Pelodiscus sinensis: one gene and its partners. The protein of the gene in region 1 interacts with the protein of each later gene in a pairwise test. Links are inferred from orthologs where the notes say so. Each region holds a gene or a part of one and is shown in the gene's direction. Other genes may lie near its edges.

Region 1 (7,989 bases):
CTTGGTGGTGGCTGCATCTGAGAGCTGGCAGGTTGCGAGAAATAAATTGATATTTACAGTACATCTGAAACAAAGTAAGTTCAAACCAAGCTGACCTGTTAACTGGCATGTGTATCCTTGTTTAGTTTTCAAAATTCACAGCATTCATCTCCTAAGTGATGTGACCAATGACAATGAAACACTTACTGGGGGCAAATTGCACAAGGTATTGCTTCCATATTTCATACTCAGGTTTTAGGGCTAGAATTTTCAAGGGTCTAATGAGATCAGATACCCAATTCTCACTGAAAGTAATAGAGTCAGGTGTCTAACTCTTCTTACAGGTGCCTTTGGAAATCCTTCCCTACATATACTGAGCACCTACAACTCCAACGGAAATCCAAACTTAGGGTGCTTAACACCTTTTAAAAGAAAATAACAAGAAAGCTTCTGTTTTTAGGCACACTCAAGATTCCCAATCCTGATTTTCCTGATTAGGAAAATCCATCCCTTTAAAAAATGCTGAGAGCACCAGCTGGTGTAAATATTGGAGATAATTTACATGTAATCATTTTGCATCAACAATAAAAAAAATCTATATAATTTGTTCTTTTGATCCTTGCTCTTTTCTTTTGTAAAGGCAGTGGTCTTCACCTCTCTTCCCTCACTTTCAGAGACACTGTTTCAGGCTATGAAGAGGATACTTGAAAATAATAGTTTGACTCCCGTACCTGCTACCCATTCTTTCTCTGTGTGTTTTTTAAACCAATCTAAAACTGATAGCGACAAACAAGACATAAGGGGAAAGATTTTAAACGCAGTCAGAGATAGCAGGATTCTTTAGCCTATAAGCAAGATCTCGTTTTAGTTAAATTTAGATTTGTTGTATGTCTAGACTAGACTATTAATAACCAAAGACTGACTTTCAGTGTAGATACCTGTATTTTTGTCTCACGTTACCCAGACTTAACCTCTTTGTCTTCGTGTCCCCATCTGCATCATTCAAGAAGATAATCTAGGGCTGTGTCTACATTGGTGTGATCTTGCGCAAAAGCACCCGCTTTTGCGTCAGAACTTGCTGCTTGTCTACACTGTTCTTGTGCAAGAACACTGACATTCTAATGTATGAAATCAGTGCTTCTTGCGCAAGAACTATGATGCTGCCACTCAGGAATAAGCCCTCTTGCGCAACTGTTCTTGCGCAAGAGGCCAGTGTAGACAGTCAACATGAATTACTTGCGCAAGCAAGCCCTATGGTTAAAATGGCCATCAGAGCTTTCTTGCACAAGAGAGCGTCTACACTGGCAAGGATGTTCTTGCGCAAAAGCACATCTCTTGCGCAAAGCCACATGCCAGTGTTGACGCTCTCTTCTGGAACAGTTTTTGTACAAAAACTCTTCCGCAAAAGAGTTCTTGCACAAAATCATGCCAGTGTAGACGTAGCCTAGATGTCCGCTGTCCAGTTGATTCTTCACTTTCAGAAGGGCAGGTCTGCCATCTTTTGGGCAGCACTGAGCCTCTTTGTCAACAGCATCTACACTGGGTTTTCAGATGAGATAGAGCAAGATGAGACAGTTTGGTACACATGGGTAAGTTCTTTGGGAGGCCCACCTCACTAGCTCTGAATCAGTCTACAAAGTCACTTGTCATTGTCCTATTAATATTAAGATGCCAAACATTGTAGACTCTTTGGAGCAGGAATGTCTTACTATGTTTATACAGTGAAGTCCTGTACTTAGACCCTCTAGATGCTACTTTGATACAAGTTATAGTAATAATAAAACCATACATATTCCTTAACTTTCCAGAACTGAGATGTTTTTCTTTTTAATCAGAGTTCCTTCAGGCCCTAATTCAACCATATTTGAACAGATGCATAATCTTGTATACAACTGAGTTTAACCTCTCCAAATCCTAATGCAAATCACATCACACAAGATTAGAATTTGGTTCAGTGTGTGTGCTCAGTTTCAGCCAATTCAGCTCTAGCATGTTTTTGGGGAAGTATCAGGAACTCCTGTAACTGGAGGGAAAGTGTTAGTTAAAACTGCCTTACAGTGGAAAATTGCGTTTTGACAATATAACATTTTTTAATGGAAAGTGGCTAGTTTTTGCAGAAAATTTCTCTCTCCCTTTTTGAAAAACTACAAACCTCAGTTTTCTCTCTTTCAACAAACAAATAATTTTCTGCTTGGGGAAGAATAATTCTGACCTGCTATGTCTCAGTTTTCTCTTCAGTCAGAAATTCAATCTGCTGCATTCTTCCCTTCTCACCAGGCTGCTCCAACCTCACTCTCCATCCAGAGAGATTTGGTGACACTCAAATGGAGAAACCTTTAAGGCCAAAGGTGTCAAACATTCTAAGTTATTTGGGGGCAAGGAATGTCACTTACTGTGTTTGTACAGTGCTTAGCACAGTAGGCCTTGATTCTAAGACGAAGCACTTCAGAGACTGGGCCTAAGCCTGTTGTGAAGTATTCCTCTTTATTGTTGGCTTGGAGAATTTCCATTCCACAAAAGTAGATTTTTCACAGAAGTCTTGGCCATTTAACTCCAGAATGCTGGCTTCTTTCGCTAATCCAGCATCTAGAGAGAACTGTTTGTTCTATCTATACCCATCCATTATTTTGTGTTGATGATCAAAGTTGTTTGTCTTCAGTGACATTGCTATCGTTAAATCCCACTATGGCTGTGTGATGAAAACAAAGGAAGAAATTGAAAGAATTAGTTTACTTCACCCAGAGAGAATCCAGGTGGGTGCAATTATCCAGTCTGGGACTTACTGCACAATGCCTTTTATTGTTACAGGTGGAAGGTGTTAGATGATGCAATATACACTTTTGCCAGACAGTGGACTTCCTTAGCTCGTTTCAATGGAAACAGAACCTGAACTGGATTTTTGCACTTATGTGCAATAGGAGCCAAAATTATGTGCAGAAGGAAGACCAAAACCCTCAAATGTAATGGTCTTATTCTAAGGTTCAGAAAAAGTATGCATGATTCTAGAATGAGTCCAATATATTTTAATTCAATGTAGAGCACTCTCATTTAACACATGCAATGAGGCTAAAAGTGGGAAAAGCCTGCCCCTAAAGTGAAAGCTTTGATGTAATTCCAGCAATTAGCAGACCTAGAAGTGAAGAAATTCCATGGGGGAAAAACAGTTGTGTGGTATTTTCAGTCTAGCTGGAAATTAAAAGTATCAGGCATCTTTTTCTCATAATGTTTTCAGCCCAATTCTGGGCCATCAAGAGATTCACACAAGATTGAATTCAAAGCCCAGTTAACTAAAGAGACACATTTTGCCTTCCAGGTGGGCTTTGGATCAGGCCTATAGTACCAAAAAGTACAATAAGGCTGTGTCTAGACTGGCAAGTTTTTCTGCAAAATCATCTGCTTTTGTGGAAAAACTTGCCAGCTGTCTGCACTGGTCACTTGAATTTCCGCAAGAACACTGACGATCTCATGTAAGATTGTCATGATTATGAGGGTTAGCCAGCAGCCTGGGGATTAAGGGGTTAACTACACCTAGCCAGGTGGAGTGACCAATAAGAATGTAGGTGGGACTTTTCAAACTGGGACACAGGAATTTTGGTTTTTTTCTTAGCTCCTTTTGTCTCTCTGAGAGGGTTCTCTGCAGCTACAGAGAGGGACAAGCATGTCTCTCTCTCTCTCTCCAAGACACCATTCTTCATTTTCTGTAAGTAGGGTAAAGTTTAGGCAGTTTCGTTAGGTTTTATTGTTTTAAGGATTGGGTATGGGATCTGAGATCTGGCACGGTTTAAAAGATGTTTTGGCTTTTCTTTGTAACTAAGTTCTAGGCCCATGGAGTTTCTCCATGAGTATATTTTGTTACCTCCCTATCTAGTCATTATGGTTGCAACAGGAATATTGTTGTAATAATAAAAGTTCTTTCTTTTCTTTTTATTAACCTGGCAGTGGTTAATTGTGTGCCTTGATTTTTATTTTAGGGGTAAGATTTCCCAAATGATCTTTCCCCTGATTTCTTTATCAACATTTGGGTGGTGGCAGCGGAAGTTTTATTCCCAAGATCTAGGTTTTTAAGATCTTGGGGGAATTTTTATACCAAAGCCTGGTAGATAAGGCTTTGGGGTACACTTGCTGGCCCCCACTTCTGCATTTATCATGCCAGAGTGGGGAAGGAGCCATGACAAAGATCATCAGTGTTCTTGCGGAAATACTGTGCTGCTCCCGTTCGGGCAAAAGCCCTCTTGCACAAATCATTTGTGCAAGAGGGCCAGTGTAGACAGCACAGTACTGTTCTGCGCCAAAAAGCCCCGATGACTAAAATGGCAATCGGGGCTTTTTTGCGCAAAAGCGCATCTAGATTGGCATGGACGCTTTTCTGCAAAAAGTGCTTTTGCGGAAAAGCATCCGTGCCAATCTAGATGCTCTTTTCTGAAAATGCTTTTAACGGAAAACACTTCTGTTAAAAGCATTTCCAGAAAATCATGCCAGTGTAGACGTAGCCTAATTGTTTGTGTATGAAGTTCCTGAAAGTTGTTTATGGCTTCCTGGTCCCTAAAGGTGAGTGAATTCAGGTTAGTCCTCTGAGCTCTTACCTGTGCACATTGCAAGCAGGAAGATAGTCCATTTGATTTTTTAAATAAGTAACTTGGCTCAGAGGCTGGCAGACACTTACTAGCTCTCCTGAGCCAGCACCCCATTTATGATCCTCAGGGCTGGATTAAGACCTTTAGAGGCCCTAAGCACTGAAAAGATTATGGTGCCCCCCCCCCATGTAATTCAAAATAAAAACAATACTATACAATAAAATCTCTTTTTTTTTCGGTGCCCCTGCTTTGCTGGTGCCCTAAGCAGGTGCTTAGTCTGCCTATTAGGTAATCCAGCCCTGAACTGATAGGGCATCTCCAAGTAAGGGAATTTGGGAGACACGGTCCCCACCAGAAGAGGGTTTGTATGTAACGCTTCTTTTTCGGAACAAAGCTTCCTATTTGGGGCCCAGAGCCCCAGTGCCTAGGCCACGTGGCGTTGCAGAGGCTACCCTGCAGCTACCTTTCCTGAGCAGTAACGGAGCAACGCCAATCCTAGTCCCTCTCCCGTTCCCCTGCCTTCCTCCCGCCGCGGTGGGCGAGCCTGCCCCTCTGGTGACCTGCTTTTAATCCGCTTCCCCAGCCGCAGCGCACACGAGTGCACAGTGCTCGCTCGCGCTCTGCCTGCCTCTCTCCCTCTTCTCTCGCGCGCTCGCAGTCGGCGGGGCAGGGAGGCCAAGCGAGGAGCGGCGAGTTCCTGCCTCGAGCACCCAAGGCGTGGGGAGCCCAGCCCAGCAGGAGCGGGGCCGCGGGAGCGGCGAGTCAGGACCGGAGCCAGCCCGCAGGAGAGGGGCCGGCGCCGCGCTCCAGGCAGCCCAGCACCGTCCGACCGTCCCTCCGAACCGCAGGCAGCCCGGGGCGCTTTGCAACTCCGCGTAAGTCCCCGCGGCGCGGCTGGCGCCTTCTCCTGCCCCGGGGGCAGTGACAGCGCGGGGGGGGGAGGGGTATGTGCGGGGCTTCTCTCAGACCTGAGGGGTCCTGCTCCAGGGAGGGCGCCTGGCTGGGCGGGGCTCACCTGGCCCCCGCGGAGTGGGAGCGCGGCGCGGACACGCGTGCTGTGGGCGCGGGGCAATTCCCTGCGCGGCTTCTCCCCGGGGGGGCAAAGGGAGGGGTCTGAGAGGGGTCGGGGGCACGCGGATTCCGGGGGCCCCGAGGAGAGCAGAGCTTGGGGCGGTGGGGAGCGGGGCTGGTCCTCTCAGGGCCGGTGTAGAGGCAGGAGCCGCTACTCTCCCCATCTGCTCCTGGTAGCAGTGACCGACATCCGAGCCTGTCACTTCGGGCTTATCGCAGTTGACTCTCCCCCGGGCACGGCTGTGGCGGCCCGGAGCCCACAGAGAAGTTCTGGGACAGAAGAGCCCGTCCCCCTCCTCCCGGGCCCTAGGGGGCTTTACTGGCAGCGTGCCGCAGCCAGACACCTGCCCCCTCCCCAGCACGGGGCTCGACGGCTGCAGCGGAAAAGAGACCTCGAGGAGTGCAGCCCCGCCAGTAGCGCTCACTGACTCCAAGGGGACAATCCCCCCAGCTGCTCCCGCTCCCCTGCCTGGAGGGTTGTGCAGGCCGGGGGGGGAGCCGCCGAGGATTACTCGAAGGGCTAATAGGATAATGGATCCGTTCTGTGCTCTGCGCTCAGCTTGGATGTAAGGCAACTGCGCACAGCTCCATTTAGCCACCGCTTGCTAATCACTTGGCAGGAAAGGCTGGCGGATCGATTTGTGGCTGTATTGAAAAGCTAAGGGAGAGGAGGCGGAACTTAACCCGGCGCTGTGAAAGAAAAAAGCCTGGGTCCCTGGTGACCTGTGGGCAGAAAGTGTTTTGAGAAGGCAGGCCAGCAGTTTGCACCTAGGCGAACCTGCTCTGGATGCCCCCTTGCATGGTGCCAGCAATACTCTCACTTGGCTCCCAGAGACTTTGGGCCAGACTTTACCCTCTCATAAGCACATTAACCCCGTTTGACTCTCACGGGAGTTAACCTGCTTATCCTAGTTGATCCCTACTTTAGTGCTGCTAAAATAACTAACAGGTGATGATGGATCAATTCTAGAGTTGTTACTGCTCAGTTGTTTTGAACCTTCTCCTTGCTTCCTGTAAGACTTTTAAAACTGGCCCAAACTGCTGTCAGTGAGACTGATGTATATACACAATGTAACACTATTGACTTCTACCTGAGAGTATAACTTTTCTCCTTGGACTTTTCTCCTTTGTTCACAGGGAGCTTATTTTGCAAGGTATTCTCTGTTCTTAGCATTCTGGGAAGCCTCAAGCGTAAACTGCAGCTTCATTTCCATCCATTCAGTGCTACGCTTTTATTTGTCTCAGTTTCCATGGTGCTATCAAACTACTACTTCTAGCTTGATCGGGGTGGGCAATAATTTTTGATGGGGGCACTCCAAGAATTTGGAAAGGAGTCAAGGGGTGCGCCCTTCCATAGTATTGGGGTGGGGTCTGGGATGGAGATTGGGTATAGAAGGGAGCTTGGGGTAAGGGACTGAGGTGCAGAAGGAGGTGTGGGATCTGGGAGGTAGTATGGGTAAAGGAGGGGTTTGTGACCCAGGGCAGGAGATTGGAGTGTAGGAGGGGATCCAGGGGTTTGGGTTGTGACCTGGGGCAGGGGATTAGGGTACAAGGTTTGAGAGGGGGTATAGGTGCAGGAGACAGGGAAGGTTTGGGTTATGTGGGGCGGGGGCAGAGGGAAGGAGGGGCTGGGATGCCAGAGGCAGGCTGTGTCTGCAAGACATTTACCTGGGCAACTCCCAGCCAGCAGCTCATCAGGTTCCCTGCCTTCAATGCCCTGTCAGGAAGCTCAGAGTAGCTGGCTGTGGAGCCATGTGCATCTGTAAACAGCTGCAAGCCCGAAAGAAGGAGGGAGGCTTACTTTGTCCACTGTCTGTTCTTTAAGCAGGCAGCTCCTTTTGTCCAGAAACTGGCCAATGAGAGCTGCAATATTGTGCTGGAGTTTGGGGCAGCGCACGAACTCCAGACAAACAGGACCCAGCTGCTGGCTTTTCTGAGTGGCATGCGGGGGTAGGGCAGGCATCCTCACTGAAGCTCCCGCTATGTTGTCTGTGGGCTGGATCTAACAGCTTGGTAAGATGGAGCTGGCCCACAGCTGTATTTTGCCCGGCATCTGACAATTGTATATATTTAGTAAAATAATCAGAGCCATTTAAGGTCTGTATTTCTAATTTATATCCATATCCTGGTATTATTAGTTAATGCATGTTAAGCATTGACTGAAGACACTGATTATGTACCGAGTCAACAGCAGCAATGAATTTCAGATATGGCTCTGGTATTTTGAGATAAGTAGAAGGAACCATATTTTAGGTTATTTTGGGAAGTTTTGCATCATGTGGACATAAAGGATAACATTTTAAAAAATGCCAAAGTCCTGAAGGCTGCTGTCACATAGGTGTTTTTGAAAATCTTCATTGTGCCT
Region 2 (7,201 bases), on another chromosome or scaffold:
GTTTTTGAATTGCCGTGGGTCACCAAATCTTCCTGAATTGTCAAAACAGGTCCCCATCTGGAAAAGTTTGGGAACCGCTGCTCTAGACCCTTCCATGAGGGCCACAATCAACAAATACTGAAAGTGTTTAGTTTGTCAAAAAGCATAGAAAAAGTTCTTTAACAATGACATGCAAAGAGCAAATATTGGACTTGTCCTTTTGGGTGGAGGTGGGTCATTTCTCTACAAAAAAATGCAGTCCAAACTGTGTTCAAAGGAAGACAAAAGCCTTCCTCTGCTTTCCCCCATGGCCCATTACAAATTCAGATCCTGCCTAATCTTAGAATGACTAGAAAATGACATTGCAAGAGGCAAGAAAAAGAGGAGTGGATTTTTAATCAGACTGTTTAAAAGTCCTTTCTGGTAAGACAAACTAACTAACATGTTAAAGAATGATTTTGCTGAGTGGCCCCACCCTTTGTGGAGAAACAAATTTTGAGACCTCTCTTTCCCCCCTTCTCCCTACAAGTCAGCCAGAAAAGCCAGGGGGGAAATAGTTGACAATCCTGATAAAGTGAAAAAGAAAAAAATGTAGATGTTCACGTCTATTTTACACATCATACAGGAGGAAAAAAGGGCTAGGCTAATTTAATTTGTCTGCAGGTCACCTTTACGGGAGTCTCCTTTGTGCTCACCTGCCCATGTTGTGTGAAAAAACAATAGTGTATTAGGAACAAATCAGACTTGGGATTTCTCTGCTTTTAAGGGTATGACTGTATTTCATATTCTTTATGGAAATATAGAATATGCTTTTTACAAAATAATTCTTGCAAGGTATCATTGGAAAGCTTGTAATCTGCAAGCTGTGTTTATTCTATTTGTGTGCATGTATCATTCCTGTATTTGAAGTTAACATATGACATGTATACCTGTTCGCTAATCTAGACATGCTAGGCGAAGGTCATTTGAAGTACACAAGGAACTTAATGACCTGGTACTCAGGGCATTGATCTCTAAATAATCTGGGTTTTCCTGTTTGCTGGGACATGGTTGACCCAGCCAAGACAAGTGGTCAGGTCATCTGATACAGGAACCCATTTTGGATGCTGTACTTTTTCATAGAAAATGAAAAGGGCTGATCTGAACACAAGGGATTCCTGCCTTGAAAATATCGAGATATAGGTAGGAAACCAAACAACAGAGACAGCCACAAGACTTGACACCCCTGTTTAGCATCTCAGAGGTCTGCTGCAACCACTTAGAACTGGACATTAAGAAGGCTCAAACTCAAGTTGAAGCTACCCATCTTGTGAGGAAAGATGATTAGAACTACTGTTAGGGTCAGAACTGCAAGTAACCAGTTTCTTTGAGTATTAGAACCACACTTAGCTGGTGTGTTTTATGTTGCTTTGTAACTTAGTTTGATCTGTCTGCTATTACTTGCAACCACTTAAATCTTCCTTTTTATACTTAATAAAATCATTTATTAATTCCCTGGTGTAAATCATTGTTACTGAGGGGTAGGGATGTTAAAATGTTTATTTTTGTAAACATGTAATCATTGAAATTTTCAACGGTTACACATTTACATGCAAGGGGGACAGGCAGCAGCAGTATGAGGGAGCCGACAGCTCTATGGGAGCCAGTGCTCATGGGAGCTGGCTTTTAAGCCATCTCCCCGGGGGGAAGGGATAAAGGGGGGCTGCATGTTACTGTGCATGTTAACTGTACACATTAAACATCCCTGCTGGGGGGAGAGAGCATAATAGCTGTGCATCTTTCTCTTTCATTGATAAAGGGGGTTAAAAATTTAAGAGCTTACTCTGTATAAAACTTTATACAAAGCAATACTGATTTACGTGGGTTTCTAGTCCCAATGGGGCTGTGCACCTTGGTGCTCTGTCCCCTCCCAGAGGTGAGCTAAGTGTCTGTGTGGCTCTGTTGAGAACTGTAACCCTAACTCTGTGCCACTGCCACAGAGACCAGACGGCCTGGCACAGTAAGACGGGGCAGGCTCAGTGGTATTTCAGCACATCAAGTGACAGGCTCAAGTGGATTTCTGTGACCAAACTCATCACAGAAGATTTAAACAAGATCCTGGGAGAAAGGGAGTATGTCAAATGTTTTACTCTAGAAAGATGTCCTAGTTGGTTATACCAACCGTACGCAATTCTGCTGAACAGCATTTGATCTCCACTTGAAAAGGCAAGGTAGCATTGCAGCTCTGAAGGGCAGGGCTGGTATTAACCCCAGTCAAGCAGAAAGCTAACCACGTGAATGGTAGCGTGACCTGCATACACAGACAGCAAAACGATCGCTGCCCCGGGGAGCGTGAGAAAAAGCTGCTGGGATGGGGCTGTGCAACGTTTCGGACCCAATGGCTAGGCGTAGGCGGCCGAAGGTGCTAACCCTACGGCCCTGTGCCGTGGCCCACAAGTGTGAGCCCCGAGAAGGATCACAGGGTTGTCTCTCGTGCCTTGCTCCGCTGCTGCTCCAGCTCCTCGTCGGAGGCACAGCCAGACAGCACCTCGGCCCGCTCCAGGCGCTGCTCCGCCGTCCGCTCCGCCAGGCTGTCGAAGACCTCGAAGTAGAGCCAAGCCAAGTCCCTGGCCAGCTGCAGCTTTCCGCAGGCGATGTGGCGCCACATGGGCCAGGTGAGGCGCGGGTAGCAACCCTCGGCAGCCCGCGCCCGGGCGTAAGCGGCCATCTTGCGGAGGTAGTGCGGGCCCAGCTTGGCCGGGGGCAGGAGCTGCAGTGCCCCCACCAGGAAGGGCTCCGTCCTCACCCAGAGCTGCACCGCGGCCGGCTCCATGGCAACGCGCGCCATGGCAACCTGCGGAGCGCACACACTCAGCACACGGCGCCCAAGCGGGCCACGCGCCCCGCCCCCCCAGCAAGAACCCCTCCCCCCGCACTGAGGCAGCGCCCCGCCCCCCCAGCAAGAACCCCTCCCCCTGCACTGAGGCAGCGCCCCGCCCCCCCAGCAAGAACCCCTCCCTCTGCACTGAGGAAGCGCCCCGCCCCCCAGGCGAGAGCCCCTCCCCCTGCACTGAGGCAGCGCCCCGCCCCCCCAGCAAGAACCCCTCCCCCTGCACTGAGGCAGCGCCCCGCCCCCCCCAGCAAGAACCCCTCCCCCTGCACTGAGGCAGCGCCCCGCCCCCCAGGCGAGAGCCCCTCCCCCTGCACTGAGGCAGCGCCCCGCCCCCCCAGGCGAGAGCCCCTCCCCCTGCACTGAGGCAGCGCCCCGCCCCCAGGCGAGAGCCCCTCCCCCTGCACTGAGGCAGCGCCCGCCCCCCCCAGGCGAGAGCCCCTCCCCCTGCACTGAGGCAGCGCCCCGCCCCCCCAGGCGAGAGCCCCTCCCCCTGCACTGAGGCAGCGCCCCGCCCCCCAGGCGAGAGCCCCTCCCCCTGCACTGAGGCAGCGCCCCGCCCCCCAGGCGAGAGCCCCTCCCCCTGCACTGAGGCAGCGCCCCGCCCCCCAGGCGAGAGCCCCTCCCCCTGCACTGAGGCAGCGCCCCGCCCCCAGGCGACAGCCCCTCCCCCTGCACTGAGGCAGCGCCCCGCCCCCCAGGCGAGAGCCCCTCCCCCTGCACTGAGGCAGCGCCCCGCCCCCAGGCGAGAGCCCCTCCCCCTGCACTGAGGCAGCGCCCCGCCCCCAGGCGAGAGCCCCTCCCCCTGCACTGAGGCAGCGCCCCGCCCCCAGGCGAGAGCCCCGCGGCCCCAGCTCTAGGCGAAGGCCCCGCTCACCGGCCCCGCGCCTCGCCGCGTTTGAATCCCAGCTCTCCCCTCAGCAGCGCCTAGCAACCGCACGTGCGCACTGCGGCTGCGACCAGCGAGACGTTAGCTAGACCTGCCCCGCCCCGCCGCTCCCTCACCACAGCGACAGGGGTCAGCACGCGACTGTTGTTCTGCGTGAGCAGGCCACTGTCGCAGTGGTACAGCGCTCCTCCGCCCCCGCTGTGATTGGCCGGGAGGGGCGCGCGCGGCCGGGGATTGGCTAGCCCTCAGCCGGGCACTCTCCGGGTGAGGGATCCCTGGGAGAGGATGTCCTTCCTGGGGTTGTGATTGGCCCCAGGTATCGGTGACGCAGATAGCAGCGATTGGTCAGGAGGCGCAGTGCTGATGTAGTGGGCTGTGATTGGCCCGCCCGGCCGGGCGGTTGGTGAAGTGTGCGGCTGTGATTGGCGAGGTGTGACCGGGGCCGCGCGCTGTGCCGCGCGCCCATTGGCCCGCTCTCTTCGCCGGGCTCCGTTTCATATCTATGGTTACCGGCGCGCCGGGCTCCGGGAGCCGGCCCGAGACCCCCCGCGCGCAGGCCATGGCCCCCCGCTCCCTCGGCCGCCTCTGCCTGCTGCTGCTCTACCTGCTGGGCGAGGCCAGCGCCGGGTGAGTGAGCGCGGGCGGGGCCGTCCCCCGGCCCGCCCCTCCCCCACCGGGCCCCGAGCAGCGCCCCTCCCCCACCGGGCCCCGAGCAGCGCCCCGCCCCCACCGGGCCCCCAGCAGCGCCCCTCCCCCACCGGGCCCCGAGCAGCGCCCCTCCCCCACCGGGCCCCCGCAGGCCCCCAGCAGCGCCCCGCCCCTCCCCCACCGGGCCCCGAGCAGCGCCCCTCCCCCACCGGGCCCCCAGCAGCGCCCCGCCCCTCCCCCACCGGGCCCCCAGCAGCGCCCCGCCCCTCCCCCACCGGGCCCTGAGCAGCGCCCCGCCCCCACCGGGCCCCCAGCAGCGCCCCGCCCCCACCGGGCCCCCAGCAGCGCCCCGCCCCCACCGGGCCCCGAGCAGCGCTCCGTCCCGCCCCCACCGGGCCCCGAGCAGCGCTCCGTCCCGCCCCCACCGGGCCCCCAGCAGCGCCCCGTCCCTCCCCCACCGGGCCCCCAGCAGCGCCCCGTCCCTCCCCCACCGGGCCCCCAGCAGCGCCCCGCCCCCACCGGGCCCCCAGCAGCGCCCCGCCCCCACCGGGCCCCCAGCCCTTCCCCCACCGGGCCCCCAGCAGCGCCCCGCCCCTCCCCCACCGGGCCCCCAGCCCTTCCCCCACCGGGCCCCCAGCAGCGCCCCGCCCCTCCCCCACCGGGCCCCCACAGGCCCCCAGCCGCGCCCAGCCCCTCCCCCACCCGGCCCCCAGCAGCGCCCCGCCCCAACCGCTCCCCCAGCCCCTCCCCCACCCGGCCCCCAGCAGCGCCCCGCCCCAACCGCTCCCCCAGCCCCTCCCCCACCCGGCCCCCAGCAAAAAGAGGGTGCAAGTGTAGACATACCCACACACACACGGACACCCTCCACACTGTTTTGGGCCAGTCACTGAATACGTCTGTGCTTCAACTTCTCCACTAAAATAGTTGTCATGGCACTGATTGAAACTCGTAGGTGTTCCAGGAGGGTGCCTTCACCCTACTGAGCTGTTCAGTTGCAGTAGCAGTGGTGGTGTTCTGTGGTTGTCTCGTTAGAAGTGGTGCATTTGTGGCAGAGGCCATGACTAGATGTTTACTTTGCTCTCTATTTCTCAGGAGGGATTTCTATAAGATTCTGGGGGTGTCCCGCAGTGCATCAGTAAAAGACATTAAAAAGGCCTATCGGAAACTGGCTTTGCAGCTTCATCCGGACCGCAACCCTGACGATCCGCGAGCGCAAGAAAAGTTCCAGGATCTGGGAGCTGCCTATGAGGTCAGTGAGTTAATAGAGTATCTGCTCTGAGTACTAACAAACATGGTTTTCCTGTCTGGGTGGAGTCTCTTCCTCCATCTCCTCATTTGCAGGAGGGTGCAACCGGTTTTCTAGTGATGGCCTTGGAGCTGTTGTTAATCAGGGAGAGTCAGCAATGATTACATTTCAGTGTTGGTAATGAATTGCTGCAACAAAAGTGAAAAGTCAGACAGGTTTATTGACTGGAAATGGCAGAGGAGTGATAGCGAAAAATTGTGAAGAGCCTGCCCTGTGTTAACCTGATTGCTGTCACTCTATTTAAGGTTTCTAGTAGAGGCCCCGGGCCAGCTTGTAGATCCCAATTATCTCATTTTTGGAGTTAAGTTTCCCCTGCAACATGCAAGGGAGGGTGTGGAATGCTTCCTTTTAATGGAGTTTGAAGATGCCTAGTTTGGATTTGCGCTAGCTATTGCAGTAGTTGGGGCCAAAGGCAGTTTGATTACTGTGGATGCTCAAGATGTAGCCACCTCTGTCGTAGCACATTTTCTTCTCTGGAAAACAAAAGCTTATTCTTTCAAAGCACCAAAACTTGATTGACTGCTCCACTTCAGCCACAAGATATAGGCTTGATTTGGGCTTCATAACTGGCTGAAATTCCATGACCTGTGCAACGAAGGTCAGACTAGATCAGGGATGGGAAATCACAAACAGCCCCCATTTAAGCAGTGCGCTCTCACTGGTGCAGAACTTCAACAGCCATCTCTCATACTTTTGGCTCAGCAGATCAGTACATCTAATTGTGACACCTTGCCTGCGTTTGGGACGTTATTCTGCCTTCATATGGCCAAGACCCCTGCTCTCCAGCTCGCTCTCTTTCCCAGAAGTGAGCGCCAATGTTTGCACCATGGCAGGTTGATCATCCTCTTTGGTGGCTTCTCTTTGGTGCTCAAACTTGAGATGATGGAGGCAGGGTGAAAGGTTATAAAAGGCTCTCTGGACAAATGCTCTTTCTGTATTACTGAGATTGGGGCAAGGAGCAGGTGCTGCTTACTGGGTAACGGGATTTCTACATCCCTAGGGGGAGTAGCCGTGTGATTCACAAAGAAGAGCGACACACTTGTGTGACAGACTGCCGAAAGGACTGTGTTTTTGAGCTCTTACTCCGCTGCTAATCCTTTTTCCATTAGCCCACCAAGAGTAATTGAAACAGCGTTGAATGATAGCGCGTCTGGGTGGTTTGCTGTTTCGATGAGATGCATGTGATATGGTGACAAGAGACTTCCAAAGAGCCAATTTCTGCAAAATAAAGATTCTTGTTAAACTGACAACCTTGGACTTGGTGCTGATTATGGAGTGGTGACCAGCACCGCCATAGTAAAAGTGATCTGGATCTCTCCACTGCCTCTTATTCCTCATTTGGGGTAAAGGCCGGGTTCCTCTCAAAGGCTTGTTTAAATAACCTGACTCACTAGTGCTTGTCCCACATCCTCTGCCCTCTCAGGTGCTCTCAGACGAGGAGAAGAGAAAGCAGTATGATACCTATGGCGAGGAGGGATTGAAGGATGGTCACCAGGGTTCCCATGGAGAC
Region 3 (6,955 bases), about 200 Mb from region 1:
GGGGGAGCCGGGCATGCGGGATGACTTCACTCTGTTGTCCCGCAGGAAAATCCTTTTGAAAGTATAATAAGATAAGATGTCGAAATAACTGCTTGTGTGCTTGTGTTATGGGAAGGAGTAAATAACATTTCCTTATTTACTTTCTCCATACCAGCTGTGATTCAATACATCTTTATCATATCCCCTTAATCATCTTTTCTAAACTAAAAACTCCCAGTCTTATTAATCTCTCCTCATAGAGAAGCTGTTGCAAACCCTAATCATTTTTGTTGCCCTTTTCTGTACCTTTTCCACTTCCAGTATTTCCTTTTTTACTAAGTCAGAATGACCACATTTCCATAACAGTATTCAAGTGTAGGCATTCCATGGATTTATATAGAGGTGATGAGTTATCTTCTGTCTTATTATTTATCCCTTTCCTAATGATTTCCAACATTGTTAGATTTTTGACTGCTGCTGCACGTTGAGTAGATATTGTCAGATAACTATCCACAATATACAGGTCTATGTAGCACTTTAAGACTAACAAGATGGTTTATTAGATGATGAGCTTTCGTGGGCCAGACCCACTCATCATCTAATAAACCATCATCTAATAAGCTCATCATCTAATAAACCATCTTGTTAGTCTTTAAAGTGCTACATAGACCTGTATTTTGTTTCAGCTACACCAGACTAACACGGCTACATTTCTACCATTATCCACAATATAGGGATGTTAAAAATCTGTTAATTGAATAGTAGAGTAACCTCCTGAAATTTTATCGGTTAGTTGACTATTTTATAGTCCCCTGGGGCAGGGCCAGCAGTGCTGGGTGCCAGGTGGGAGCTGGTCTGCAAAGGGAGCCAGTTTAAAAAACAGATCCCCTCACAGACCGGCTGCCTGTTGCCCTGTGCTGCTGCTTCTGAGAAAGAGGCAGCAGCATGGGTCTCAGCTTCTGGACCGGTGTGAGCCAGAACTGAGCTGCCTCCCGATCTAGCTCTTAATACACTTGAAATGCAGAGCTGAAATGGGGATAGGTCCTAGACCCATGGCAAGCCAGGACTGAGCCAGGCTGCTGGCCAGCCTGTTAAAAAATTTACTAGCAGGGAGAGGGAAATGCATGTAGTCTATAGCATTAACCGATAAGCTTTTGCTTATCGGTTAATTGACTATACCAGTGGTCACCAACCTTGGAGCCTCTGACAGGTGATCTCGACTTGTTTGGCCATGAGGCTGTCAAGTGCAGCACTTCAGCTGCCCCTCCCCCCACTGCTGAGCACCTCCTGCTCTTTGCCTTCGAGCTTTTTTCTTTTCCCACCCTGTGTATTCTATCTCCAGCGAATGGATGTGGAGGGCACAGAAGGGTTTGGGATGGACAGAATTTTCTGGCTGCTTTTGAGAATGGTGCGGGGCCAGGCAGGGGTGAGCCTGCCTTTAGCCCCATTGCAACACCACACAGGAGCCACCTGTGGTAAGCAGTTTCCAGCTGGAGCCTACATCCTGAATCCCTCTCCCAGTCACGTACCCTCTCCTACACCCCATCCCCTGCCTCAGCTCAGAGTCCTTTTCACACTCCAAATCCATATGATCAATGCCTGCACCCCAACTCTCTGCCCCTGCCTGATAAAAGGGAGGAATAATGGGGGAGGGAGGGAGCTGGAGCAGGGCCTTGGAGAAGGGGAATGAAGGAGGCGGGACAAAAGTATTTGGGTTTGAGGTAGATCCTGGATTGCACTTCAATTCAAAAAGTGATCTCATCCTTTAAAAGACTGGAAACCACTGGACTATACTATTACATCCCACCACCAGAGGCATGTAGTCTAGACGTACCCTTAGAATGAGAAGGGTAGCCCTGTTCATCTGAATCTGCATAAACAACCAGAAATCCTCTGGCACCTTATAAACTAACAGATTTATTAGAGCACAAGCATTTGTAGCCCTTCTGCCGGGTAGGCCTGGCAGGAACCAGGGCTGGGTTCAATATCTTGGGGTCAATCTCACAAAGAACCGGCTCGAGCCCCCACCCAGTGATCTGGGAAATTCACGCACCCCTGGGCGCCTCTGAGAGGCAATGCTTCCCCACTCGCAAGCACTGAGTCTGAGTGTAGGAAAAGAACATTTAATGAAACAGAGGAAGAATTCATACGGCATTAGCTTGGGGAAAACACCACAAACAGAGTTCATAACCCAAACATGAGCCCCCACCCCGGCCAAGATTCGCCCGAAGTCCACCGACTCCCCAAAAGTCTCTGTCCCCACAAGTCTCTGTGCCACCCAGAGCCCCAAAGTTCACCCGCAGGGTTTCACCTCCCAACCTGGGTAGAAATGGGGGTGGGGAGATAGATAGGGGGCACCTTATACGAAAACTCCGCTACGCTTCACCAGCTGTCTCGTCCCACACCTCTGGACGCTCCGCTGGGCACCTGTCGCCACTTCTCGCCTGCTGCCGCTCCACGCCACGCCACTGGTCGCCGCTCCTCGCCTGCCGCCGCTCCATGCCACGCCGCTAATGGCCGCTCCTCGCCTGCCGCCGCGCCACGCCACTGATGGCTGCTCTTCGCCTGCCGCCGCGCCACGCCACGCCGCTAGTCGCCGCTCCTCGCCTGCTGCCACTCTACTGGTTGCAGTAGGTCTGGCTCTCAGCCAAACCAGTGATTTCAGCTTAGTGATTTCAACTCTCAGCCAAACCAGTGATTTCAGCTCTCAAATGAATCCAGCTTTCACTGGACTAGCAAACAAAAAGACTCCTCAGGGAGTCTGCTTTAGGTCTGTCCTTAAAACAAAGGGGGAAAGGTGCAGGCTGGGCCAGTCTTATAGCTCACACCTGGTAGGTGTGAAGCAGGCTGACACAAGTCCTTTAACCCTTTCCCCCAGCTCTGTCCACTCAACTCTGGAAGGGGGGAGGCTTGTTCTTCCGAGACCTCTTACCATGATGGTGGTGTCTCTCCTGCAAGCACTGGTGGCATGTTTTACAGTTCCCACATTTAGGGGTAGCATGATTAGTGACCCCCACAACAGTCCCAAATTATATACAATTCTCCACATTCCATTCCAACACTGACCCTCCATCAGCCCTGGCTGAATGGAATTTACATAGCCACACCTTGGATTCTCTCCTGAGCAGTATTTACATGTCAACAGTTAACAGTTAATTACCTTGTAGAGCTAAACAACTGTAGTGGGCACACCCACCCCTCCTTTCAGCTGGCTGACAGCAAGCAGCAGTTCAGCCCCTGCTTACACATTCATGGGCAAAAGTGGGTCTTTTAGCCACAAAAACTTGTACTCTAATAAATCTGTTAGTCTAAAAGGTGCCACAGGCCTTCTCCTTATTAGCCCATTTTCTGTAAGCATGGCTTTGGGACCTCCCTCTGCAGTCTATCAGTTTGGTTTGGGTAATTGCAATAATGTTAAAATTAAATGAGTACACTAGCAAGAAATTGTTTTATTTCACTAACTACAAATTTTCTGTTTTCATTTAAAAAAAATTTTAAACAGTCAAAAAATTGCAAAGTGCAAACGTGGAAAAGCCAAGAAAAAAGAGGGGTCGGCCAAACAGTTTTTTGCTTGGGGTGGAAAAAAACAAAGAGCCGGCCCTGACCGCCAAGGCTCTCCCCTGCGAGCGAGCTCCCAGTACTAGTCCCCCTCCTAGCCCCACACAAAATGGCGCTTCCTTCCCGCCCGCAGTCCAGAGGCGCGTTTTTATCTCCCCTCCCACAGACACTGCGTAAGTAACTAGCGCACGCAGCTAATTCCTACAGCTACCAGCCCCTGACACTACACCGGCCAATCACGGCCCGTCTTAGTTACCATTGGCCAATAGGCACGGCGATGCCACCATAGGGGCGTTCCCACCTGCAAACCTTCTCATTGGCTCGCGCCCAATCATAGCCATGAATTGATCCAGCGACTCACCTCCCAAGCGCATGCGTATTGTAAGTTATCTGTCCTAAACCCGCGAGAGGTGACTTCGCGCGTTTTCCTTAGCCACTGGCTAGCGATTGGAGCTACAGCGGATGTGACGACATGGACCCGGACCCAGTGACCGGAAGGAGCCCTTTGAAACGACGGAGGCTGGTGCGCGGCGGGCAGGTGAGGTTGGTAGCAGGGTTGCGGCGGGGCCTTTGCAGTGGCTACGGGGCAGGGAGCTCCCCGCAGATTCGCCCAGCCGTGCCCGGCTCCCTGGTGCTGTTGCGGCGGCAGGCGGGCGTGGGACGTCCCGTTTGGCTTGGCGCGGTGCCGCCGCCCTGGATCCCCTCTCCCCTTGAAAGCTTTATGCGTGTGCCCGGGGCTAGGGGCGGCCGTGCCGGGCGCCTGGCGCCCTCTGTTGAGGGGCTGCTCTGTCTGAAGCGAGAGCCGGCCCAAGCTAGGGGCTGACTGGGCGATAGGCCCGGGCGCCCGATTCTATGGGGCGCCACGCGGTGCGGCCGGGCGGGGCCGCGCATGCGCCGCGCGCCTGGGCCTGAGTTTGCAAGAATGAGCCGCGCGCGCCCGAGGCGGGCCGCGCATGCGCCGCGCGCCTGGAGCTGAGGTTGCAAGAATGGCTTGGGCCGGCTCTGTGTGAAGCCCGCTTGACGGGAAGGCAAGGCGCTAACTCCTCCACGTCCCTCCATTTGCAGAGTCTGCTTGTCCTTTGAGCCCTGATCCTGAGAGGAGACGGAGAGGTAGGTGGAGGCGGAGTCATGGGGTAAAGCTGTGTGTGGCTGCTAGTCTGTAACAAACGTTTGGGAGTGCTCCCCTCCATGCCTTCCTACCTGCCCTAACTACCTTGCACTCCTTGTCCACTAGTGACCTCAGAGTCAAAAAGGCCAATGTAGAGTGGCAGGTTTAGTGGCTTTTGTGATAAATAGGGCTGTCAAGCAATTAAAAAAAACAAATCAGAATCAGTTATACTATTAATGAGGGCATATATAAGCATGGCTATACTGGGTCAGATCAAAGGTCCATCTAGCCCAGTATCCTGACTTCTCAGAGTTTCCAATGCCAAATGCTCCAGGGAGAGTGAACAAAAACAGTCATTTGACAGGTTTTCCATACTACTTATAATTTTTATTGCCCCTTTCTGAACTCTTTCCAATGTTTGCCAATACATCTTTTTTTAGATAAGGCGACCGCATCTGCACACAGTATTCAAGATATGGGTGTACGCTGACTTATATGGGTGTACGCTGATTTATACAGAGGCAATAAAAATATTCTCAGTCCCTTTTTTTAATGATTCCTTATGTTCTGGGTTTTTTTTTTTTTTTTTTTGACTGACGCTGCATGTTGAGTGGATGTTTTCAGAGAACTATCCATAATGACTCCCAAGATCTCTCTCGAGTGCTTATAGCTAAATTTGTCCCCATCATTTTGTATGTTTAGTTTATTTTTCCAGTGTGTGTTACTTTGCATTCATCAATATTAAATTTCATTTGCCATTTTGTTGCTGAACCATCTACTTTACTTTTAATTATCTTGAGCAGTTTTGTGTCCTCTGCAAATTTAGCCACCTGTTTACTCCTTTCTCCAGATGATTTATAAATAGGTTAAATAGGATTGGTCCCAGTACTAACATATGGGGGACACCACTAGTTATCTCTGTCCATTCTGAAAACTGACCATTTATTCCTACCCTTTGTTTCCTGTCTTTTAACTAGTTATCAGTCCATGAGGACCTGCTCTCTCATCCCATGACAACTTACTTTACTTACAAGCCTTTTGTGAGGGACCATGTCAAAGGCTTTCTGGAAATAAGTACACCATATCCACTGGATCCCCCTTGTCCACATTCTTGTTGATCCCCTCAAAGAACTCTAGTCAATTAGTAAGGCATGATTTCCCTTTACAAAAATAATGTTGACTTTTCCCCCCAACAAATTACGTTCATCTACGTGTCTGACAATTCTATTCTTTCCTATAGTTTGAACTGATTTGCCCAGTTCTGACATTAAATTTACTCGTCTGAGATTGCCAGGATCGCCTCTAGAGCCCTTTTTAAATATTGGCATCAAATTAGTTATCGTCTAGTCATTAGGTACAGAAGATGATTTAAGGATAGGTTACAAACTGTTGGGTGAATTCCATCTGGTCTCACTGACTTAAGTTTATCAGTTTATTCCAAAACCACCTCTAATGACATCTCAGTCTGGGACAATTCCTCAGATTTGTCACCAGAAAGAATGGTTCAGGTTTGGAAATCTCTCTAACATCCTCAGCTGTGAAGACCAAAGCCAAGAATTAGTTTAGTTTCCTCCGTAATGACCTTATCAACTTTGAGTGCTCCTTTAGCATTTCAATCATCCAGCGGCCCGACTGGTTCTTTAGCAGGCTTCCTGATTTTCTTAAAAAATATTTGGTTGTTACTTTGAGTTTTTTTGGCTAGCTGTTCTTCATACTTTTTTGGCTTTTCTTATAATATTTTTACACTTAATTTGACAGAGTCTATGCTCCTTACTATCTTTCTCACTAGGATTTAACTTCTACTTTTTAAACAATGCCTCTTTATCTCTTGCTGCTTCTTTTACTTGGTTAAGCCACAGTGGTACTTTTTTTTTCTTACTGTGTTTTTATTTTTTGGGGTATACATTTAAGTTAGGTCTCTATTTTAGGGTCTTTGAAAAGTTTCCGTGCAGATTGCAGGGATTTTACTTTTGGCGGTGTACCTTTTAGTTTCTATTTAACCTCCTCATTTTTGTGTAGTTTTCCTTTCTGAAATTAAATGCCTCGGTGTTGGGCTGCTGTGTTGTTTTTCCCTCCACAGGGAAGTAAAATTTTATTACATTGTCACTATTTTCAAACGGACCCGTTATATTTACTACTTGGACCAGATCCCGTGCTCCACTTAGGACTAAATCAAGAACCTCTCCTTTTGAGGGTTCCAGAACCAGCTGCTCCATATTTTTGGATATTTCTACATTGTCAGACTTCAATTAGAACAGAATTCAAAGTGTACAGGGCTCATTTTGCAAATATTTGTAATCAAAATAAAAT
Region 4 (7,731 bases), on another chromosome or scaffold:
AAATATTAGAAATTGTTGGAAAATATTGGAAAAATACAGCAATTGTGGACGCAAAATAGACAAAGGACGGCTATATTCTTAGATATCTGGCTACCTTTTATTCAGTACTCAAAGCACATTCATCTGCAAAACAAAACAACAACCAAAAAACTGGACACGTGTGCAAAATGTTTTGAATATTAATATTAGATAGTCATACCTGATACTTTAAATGCATATATACAGAGATTTCACTCAGTTTAACAAAGTCACTAAAAATGACATTGGTGTTATAATGGTGCTTTTTTGGTAATATGGTTGGTAACACCTTATTAAATAAAAAGACTGGATGACTATATACCTGTGTAGTGTCTCTTGAAGCAAAAGCTAACTGCCGTGATGATTATTTTGTTTCTGATATTTACACAACAAGGATTTGTAAACTTGTTAAAACTTCCTAAATAAATAATTAAAAAATAAAAATAAACTGCTGCTCTGGTCTTTCTGATGGTATTAATGCATAACATTTCTATAATGTTTTTATGGCTAGGTCCTCAGCTGATGTAAACCAGGAGAGCTTTACCTAAGTCAGTGCGAGTATACCATCTTACACCATCTCAGACGTCGACCTTTAATCTTCAGCACACCACATTACTGCCCAATTAATCTTCACCAGGAGACCAGTGTGTATTGTTACACGCAAGTGATTATCATCATTTTTGTTTCACAGAGAGGGAAATGGTTCTGCTTAAATGCCATGGTGGGGTGGGGAGGAGAACAGAAGTATTAGAGCTAGGGGTTAAAATGATGTACAGTCCATGCTCAGAAGTAAAGTGGCTTCTATCCATTTCCCCAAACCTTGACACATCTTGTAATTTTTCCATCTCACGGTATTACAACCTTCCCAAAGATTTTTTTTAATGTGCAAAATTATATATTAAAAATTATACATGTATTTAAAAAATATATAGCTATACAGTATGATACTATCATATATAATTTTGCACATTAAAAAAAATCTTTGGAAAGGTTGTAATACTTAACTAAGTTCACATTTGTAGGGTTAACATTAACATGATATTTTTGCCAGACTTAAAATCCACCCCTCTGCCAAAGGCTACCCAAGGCCTATGCCCCTGTTAAAGCCTATTGCAAGCAAGTGACTGCTCTGGTTACTACCATCTGTATATTATCCTGAGTAGCCCTACAGTTGGAATTACTTACCATAGTAAATCCTATGCCACTATGATAATAAGTAGTAAGCCAGAGTTCAGTTTCAGAAATTGTTCAGGCCCAATTGAAATTTTACTCCCTTATGCTGGGTGCTGCACAAGTGTGTAGCAGAGGAGGCAGACTCTGCCTTGAAGAGCTTACAGCCTAAATAAACCAGACTGCCACACGGAAAGATAAAGTGACTTGCCCTAAATCCTTTAGCAAATGCATGGCAGAGCTGCACATTTAATCCCTTTTCCCTGAGATCCCAACCAGTGTCTTACCTGCGAGACCATGAAGTAGTAAATGCTACATGTTTTCTAGTTCATGTTTGCAAAAATGAGCTGTGGTGAAAGCCTGGCCCTATGGAAGCCACATCCAAAACTCCCATTAATTGCACTGGAGTCAGCATTTTGCCCTCTGGTTCTTTAGGATTGAATGTGGCATTCTCCTATTGTTGTAGATCGCTACACAACTTTAACATGTTATTAAAGAGAGAGAAAAAAAGTGTTGATTTAGAAAACCAGCAGGGAAGAGGCCAAGGCTGTGACAGTAGCCTTGAAAGATTTTTCCAGTGCAAACAGAGGCAGTTCCCTTGGGGGAAGTGGAGACTGGATATGTCCGTATCGACTCTTTGATCCTCTTGCAAGACAAAATGTGATAGGCGAACCATTCTGATAAACACTACAACTTCTCTATTAGTACCATGCTATGTTTCTTCGGTGGTCTCCCTCTGACAGTTGCTGAGCTACAAAGAAACACCAAACAGAGATAGGAGACAGAGGTTAAAAAGAAAACAAAACAAAACACACAACCCACCAAACCATTCCCTGGGGAATATAAACCAGGAGCCACAAACAAGTTTAAGAAGAGTTTTTATCATTGTCATGAATTTGTGTCTTGTTCTTGGTGTGTATTTTTAACGGTATGATAATACCATATTAACCACCTTGCAAACATTAAATTAGCAGCTTGAAAAACAGATTATCAGATGCCCTTTAATTTTTCCCCCTTCCAAGCAGCTAACCAGAAGACGAAATAAGCCAAAGATCATGAAATCAACTGGAAAAAAAACTCTCCAAAACTCTTTGTCTATTGCATTTTAAAGCCAAAGAGTAAAACCTGAGTCCACCCCTTTTGCCTCCAAATTCCTCCAGAACCCTTGGCTTTTAGCACCGCCAAGGAACTGTTTCAACATGAATGAATGGGATCAGCGCCCATGCTCCTGAAAGGCTGTAGGGGGTGTTGAATTAAATATAAAAGGCACAGAGGGAAACATTTGGTTGGCAAGCAGTGTTTCCCTGCAGGCAATGGGCATATCCTATGTGGGTATTTATGACTATTCTGCAGGGGGAATGGAGCTGAGAATTAAGCAGCTAACTGAACGTTCCTAGTGATGAGCATACAAATACAAACCCTTTCCTACCAGGTTTAACACAATTAATAGACATACAGAACTGATGGCTATATTACGATTATGAAAATTATGTCTGCAGTTATAATGCTGGTAGGTAGTTTTCCCTGTGTAAAAATTGCATGATAATGGTCACCTGTCTCGGATTACTATCTTTTTTTTCCCAGATAGATTCCCCGGAAATGTGCAAGGGAGGCTGTCTACCTTGGACCAACATTGCCATGGGGGTCTTTACAGTTCAGAAGTTTTGTCTACAATGTGCTTTATTCAGAAAGTAGTGACTCAGTACTCTGGCCCTTTCTATGATCGTAGCACTTCTTTCTGGTCTTAAAATATATGAAAATTTCTCTCCTGGAACTGACAGTCATAAAGAGAGATAATAGAGGAGAAAAATTAATAATCATCACACTTTCCCTATAAAAATTGAAGATAAATTCTTTCCCACCCAATCCCAAATTGTAATTTTATTTGCTTCTTCTAGGCAGCAGAGTATTTGAAAATTGCAAAAGTTTAGAGACAGGCTGTGACGTTTCATATGCTTAATTGTTCCCAGGACTGTACCTTTGCCTTGTGGTGGGATTAGCATTTGTGCCCTCTTCTTTTATTTTAATATACAGAAAACAAAACAATTAGGGGTATAATATGCCTGAGAAGGAAAACAAAAGGGAGAAAGTTTAACAAATACAAATAGGGAACTACAGGATCTGTTAGGAGTGCCTCAATTAGGCCTTGGTCCTACAACTGAATCTGCTAGTATAGATCCATGCAGGATTGGGGTTTTTATTTTACTTGTTGCATTTTTTAATGTATGAGGATAGTCATAGAAAACCAGATGCATTTGAAAAGACGATGGAATCCGAAAAGATTGCATCCCTTCTTCCTTTAGGAGGTCTTATTTTGGAAGTGTGGGGAAAGGGCATTTGAAATACTGATATTTTCAAAGAAAAAAAATAAAACTATAGAGACTGTATCCCTTATACATTTACTTTAGGAGCTCCCTGATTTTAAGGAACACAACCAAATAGCTTACGAAAATGCAAAAAAAAAAAAAAAAAAAAGTTTGGAATTTCCCAGTTCTAGGTAGAATTTTGTACTTAGTTAAGTCTATTGCAAAACTCCTTGTCATCTCATGGGAACAGACTCTTTAATATTAATGGTCCAGTCCTGCAAACAGATTACATATATCTGTAACATTTTCAGGATCAGGCTCTGTGGAGGTGCATCCAAGTTGTAGTTAGGGCCCAAGCCCACACGTGCTTACTAAACACATTGCTATGGGGATTATGCACTGGAATAAACACTGGACAGGATCACTGAACCCCTATTTTGCCATTGATAAGGACTGTAAGCCTATGGAGTTGCAGGCGCAATGCCAGTCACAGGATCAGGACCATAGAGTTCTGTGTACCTTATACTTTTAGGAGCACCCCAATTCCATTTGCGTTTTGGAGGTGTCTGTAAAAAACCTAGATGGGTTTGGAGTGCTTGCTGTAAGTTTAAGAAAAATCTCCCCCCTCCAAAAGCAGAGCCTTAAAAGAAAAATAAAAAAGGTACAATTACATTCTGCCCCCTGATTTTATCTGGGTGACATAAAATTCAGGGGGGAAAGCTAACTATAAAGAAAGGGCGGTTTTTCTTAATAGAAAAGCGAGGGGGGGAAATCTCATTTTTGTGTGTGTATGTCTGTGTGAGAGTGTAAAACCTTCTTGAAAAACACCAAGGAAAAGACAGAGTTAAATCTGTCCCCTCGATGCACTTCACTGAATTTGGACCGAGTTTAAATTATTTTTTTTCTTGGTTCTTCCTTTCTTGCCCTAAGCCTAAAGAAAAAAAAACCCTACTCCCTTCTGAAGTATTTAAAAGTAGGAAAGGAAGGGGAAAAAAGAAGGCCCCCCTTCTCTTATCTTTCGCATGAACTAGTAAAGCAACCAAAAAAAAAATATATATATATATATGGTGTTACTAGTATGGAACTAGTTAACCTTTAACAATTTATGCTGATGTCACACTGAGCATGAGTACTGATTAATCCCAGCCTTTTCTGTCCCCCCCCCTCGTAAAAATATTTTTATTGAGGGAGGAGGGGAGAAGTATAAGAAAAAAGAAATAATTTAGAGCAGCCATCTTTGTTTTATGCAGAAATCTTTCTCTTTCAGTTCCCCCCCCCCAGTGCCAGGAATATACAAATATTGTTCATCTATGCAATGAGCTGAGAGACTCAAACAAGCAACAATAAGGAGAAAAATTAAGATAAGGGGGAGGGAATCTTTTTTGTTGTGACTGTTTTGGATTGATTTTTGAGGGGGGTTTTGGGGGATTTTTTTCTGTGAACCTCAAGGAAGAGGTGTGTATGCCGTGGGGAGGGGGGGTGACTTAAAATCAAGCCAGCCATTTTGTTTTTTTTTTAATAAAGAAAAGGGTGGGGGATTTTTCCCCCCTTTTTCCCTCCTGGGGGGGGTCTGTTTTAAAAATAATTTAAGGGCGGCCATTTTTGTTCCTTGCTCTTGTGGCAAATATTATGCTGGGCTGCCCCCTCAGAATTTAAATATATTTTAAACCTCTTTCTCTTTCCTACCCCCCATTTTTATATTTTAAAGGGGGGGAGGGGAAAAAGTTAAAAAGGAGTTTTTCCCTCTTTTTGAATCCATGGGACTTTTTCAGGCTGTTCTTTTTTGACTGAGGTGATCTGAAAGGGGGGGGAAGAGGAATTTTGTGTGTGGTGAAGGGGGGTTGTTCCCCCCTTCTCTCTCTCTCTCTGTTTCCCTGCCCCCCCCCAGCACCACCATGGCTTCCCCTCTGAGGGAGGACGAGGAAGAGGAGGAGGAGATGGTGGTGTCTGAGGTGGAGGGGGATGAAGAAGAAGAGGAGGAAGAGGAGGAGGAAGAAGGAGCAGGGGACAACAGCCCAGGCGACATATTCCCGCCTGCTGCTGCTCCACTGGCACCAGCACCAGCAGCATCCACCCCACTAGCAGCTGAGGCGCCTCCAGGTAAACAACCCTCCCCCCTTCACCCCAGAGCCGGGCGCCAAAACACCCCCCACTCTCCCTTCAACGGCTTTCGAATGTTGGCGGGGGGGAATTGTTTGTAAACAAGCAACGGTTGCGGAACGTTGAGGGGCCGAGAGTTCCGACTTCCCTCCCCCCACAGTCCCAGCCGCCGCGCGCGCTGCCCAACGGCTGCGGAACGTTGAGGGGCCGAGAGTTCGCACCCTGCCCCTCGCCCGCTGCCCAACAGCAGTGGAACGTTGAGGGGCCGAGAGTTCACCCCCGCCCTCCGTCCTCCCCCCCGCAAGCGCGCGCGCTGCCCAGAGGGGAGAGTTTCCAGCCCCCCCTGTTTCCCCTCTTTGGATCATTGACGGGCCGAGAGTTCCGACACCCCCTTTCCCCCCCCGCTCGCGCTGCCCAACGGCTTTGATAACGCTGAGGGGCCGAGAGTTCATCCTCCCCTCCCCCTTGCGCGTTGCCCAAAGGCTTTGGAACGTTAAGGTGGGGTACGAGAGTTTCTAATCCCCCTCCCCGCGCGCGCTGCCCAGTGGCTTTGGAACATTGACGGGGGGGGATTCTAGTTTCCACCCGCCGCCGCCGCCCGCGTTTCGAACGTTCAGGATGGGGGAAGGGTGCAGGCAATTGGTCTTGAAGTGTCCTCCCCAGAAGTGGGGCCCGATGCCCCTCCCTCACTTCCAATGAAGAAGGGGACCTACCCTTCCCCCCCCCGAAAGTGGGGAGGCAGCACAGAGCCCCCCCCTTAAAGTGCCCCTCTGCCTGTGAGTTGGTTCATGCCCCTCCTGGGGTAAAGGGGAGCAGAGGAGGGTTCCCCAGCCCCAGAGATGAGGGCAGCTCTATCAGTGGAGGTGGATGGGCCACCACATGGCACTCTCCCCATCCCCAGCCCCCACAGGGGTAAGCAGGGCTGATCTGGACAGGGTTTCTGGGATGGTGGGTGCTTGGTGCAAGGGTGTGTGATCTTGGCAACTGGTGGGCAGAATGGGGCATGCTGGGCGTTGGCAGGAGTGTTTGGTGCCCTGGTGGACAGGCTGTGATGTATTGGAGGTTAGCAGGAGTGTGGGGTGGTTGCCTGATAGGCAATATTGGGCCTTCAGGACATTGGCAGGAGAGGGGGTACTTGGTGCCCACTGGGCAGGACAGGGCCTGCTAGTGGGAGTGGGGGATGCTGGGTTCTGGTAGGAGTGGGGGGGGGGGTTGGCCATCTGGTATCTGGTGGGCAGGATGGGGCCCTGTGCTTAGTTGGCAGATATGGAGGACACCTGGCAGGCAGGACAGGCCACATGGGTCATTGGTGGGGAGGGAACCTCGAGGAACCAGCCACCTGGGAGAGGGCTTGATGCCCTGTGTGATCAGTTGGGGAGGGGGCTTGGGAACCTGTAGGGTTTGGCCTGCTGGTATTGAGGTGATAGGTGGCTTTTGGCCCTCTGATTAGTGGTACTTTCTTGGGGATGGGACCCCGGGGGAGTAGATAGCAAATAGGGCTCCACACCCTACTTGACTTGTGCCTTACAGGATGGGCCCCCTTAGCAGTGGTGCAGTGAAGAGGGATGGGCTCTCTGCAGGGGGAGGGCATGTCAGTAGTGCAGATGACTCTGCTGTCCACAGGACGTGGCCATGTTGGTTACCTAGACCTGGGCATGGCTGTGTCTTGTGGGGTGGGGGTCAGTAACTAGCTTATGTGGAGAAGAGTTGGCACCCCTCTGAATAGAGTTGCATCACCTGAGATGGGATGGGGCCCGTTACTCTCAGCAGAAATGGTTGGGTCAGGACTACATTGTCATAGCGGGAGCAGAGGGTGATATGAGGATAGGGGTAGTCAGTTGTGGTGGGAGTGGAATGGGTCAGGGCCATGTTGGCTGTGGCAAGAGCGGAGGGTGATTTGAGGACAGGATTAATTGAAAGCAAGGAGTGGCTGGGTCAGGGCCAGGTTGTGGCGGGAGCGGAGGGTGACTTGAGACCACGGTTAATCGGAAGCAGGGGAATGGGTGAGTCAGGGCTAGGGTTCCCTGTAAGCTATGCGCTTGGACAGCCACCCAGAGAGATTCAAATACTGCCCAGCTGATTAGCAGAGTGCCCACAGCCAGCAGCATGTGTTTCCACTGGTGATGTACTTTAACAA

The links. The genes of interacting proteins can lie anywhere in the genome.
Region 2: the proteins of PTN (region 1) and DNAJB11 interact in a two-hybrid assay, tested with the Homo sapiens proteins (2 studies listed by BioGRID and IntAct). The link is inferred for Pelodiscus sinensis from reciprocal best matches to the Homo sapiens genes PTN and DNAJB11.
Region 3: the proteins of PTN (region 1) and TAF1D interact in a two-hybrid assay, tested with the Homo sapiens proteins (2 studies listed by BioGRID and IntAct). The link is inferred for Pelodiscus sinensis from reciprocal best matches to the Homo sapiens genes PTN and TAF1D.
Region 4: the proteins of PTN (region 1) and CHD3 interact in a two-hybrid assay, tested with the Homo sapiens proteins (2 studies listed by BioGRID and IntAct). The link is inferred for Pelodiscus sinensis from reciprocal best matches to the Homo sapiens genes PTN and CHD3.

The regions. Positions count from the first base shown.
Region 1 is NC_134711.1:103,329,409-103,337,397, forward strand, and holds the start of PTN (pleiotrophin), read left to right. Parts: upstream 1-4,988; 5' UTR 4,989-5,428; intron 5,429-7,989.
Region 2 is NC_134720.1:2,943,417-2,950,617, forward strand, and holds the start of DNAJB11 (dnaJ homolog subfamily B member 11), read left to right. Parts: upstream 1-4,187; 5' UTR 4,188-4,239; coding exon 4,240-4,364; intron 4,365-5,477; coding exon 5,478-5,634; intron 5,635-7,114; coding exon 7,115-7,201. Other genes in the region: TBCCD1 (TBCC domain-containing protein 1), read right to left, coding at 2,456-2,806. UniProt on the Homo sapiens protein: As a co-chaperone for HSPA5 it is required for proper folding, trafficking or degradation of proteins.
Region 3 is NC_134711.1:305,249,299-305,256,253, reverse strand, and holds the start of TAF1D (TATA box-binding protein-associated factor RNA polymerase I subunit D), read left to right. Parts: upstream 1-3,941; 5' UTR 3,942-4,075; intron 4,076-4,602; 5' UTR 4,603-4,647; intron 4,648-6,955. UniProt on the Homo sapiens protein: Component of the transcription factor SL1/TIF-IB complex, which is involved in the assembly of the PIC (preinitiation complex) during RNA polymerase I-dependent transcription.
Region 4 is NC_134734.1:10,543,064-10,550,794, forward strand, and holds the start of CHD3 (chromodomain-helicase-DNA-binding protein 3), read left to right. Parts: upstream 1-4,717; 5' UTR 4,718-5,389; coding exon 5,390-5,594; intron 5,595-6,225; exon of another isoform or gene 6,226-6,433; coding exon of another isoform or gene 6,434-6,506; intron 6,507-6,512; exon of another isoform or gene 6,513-7,731.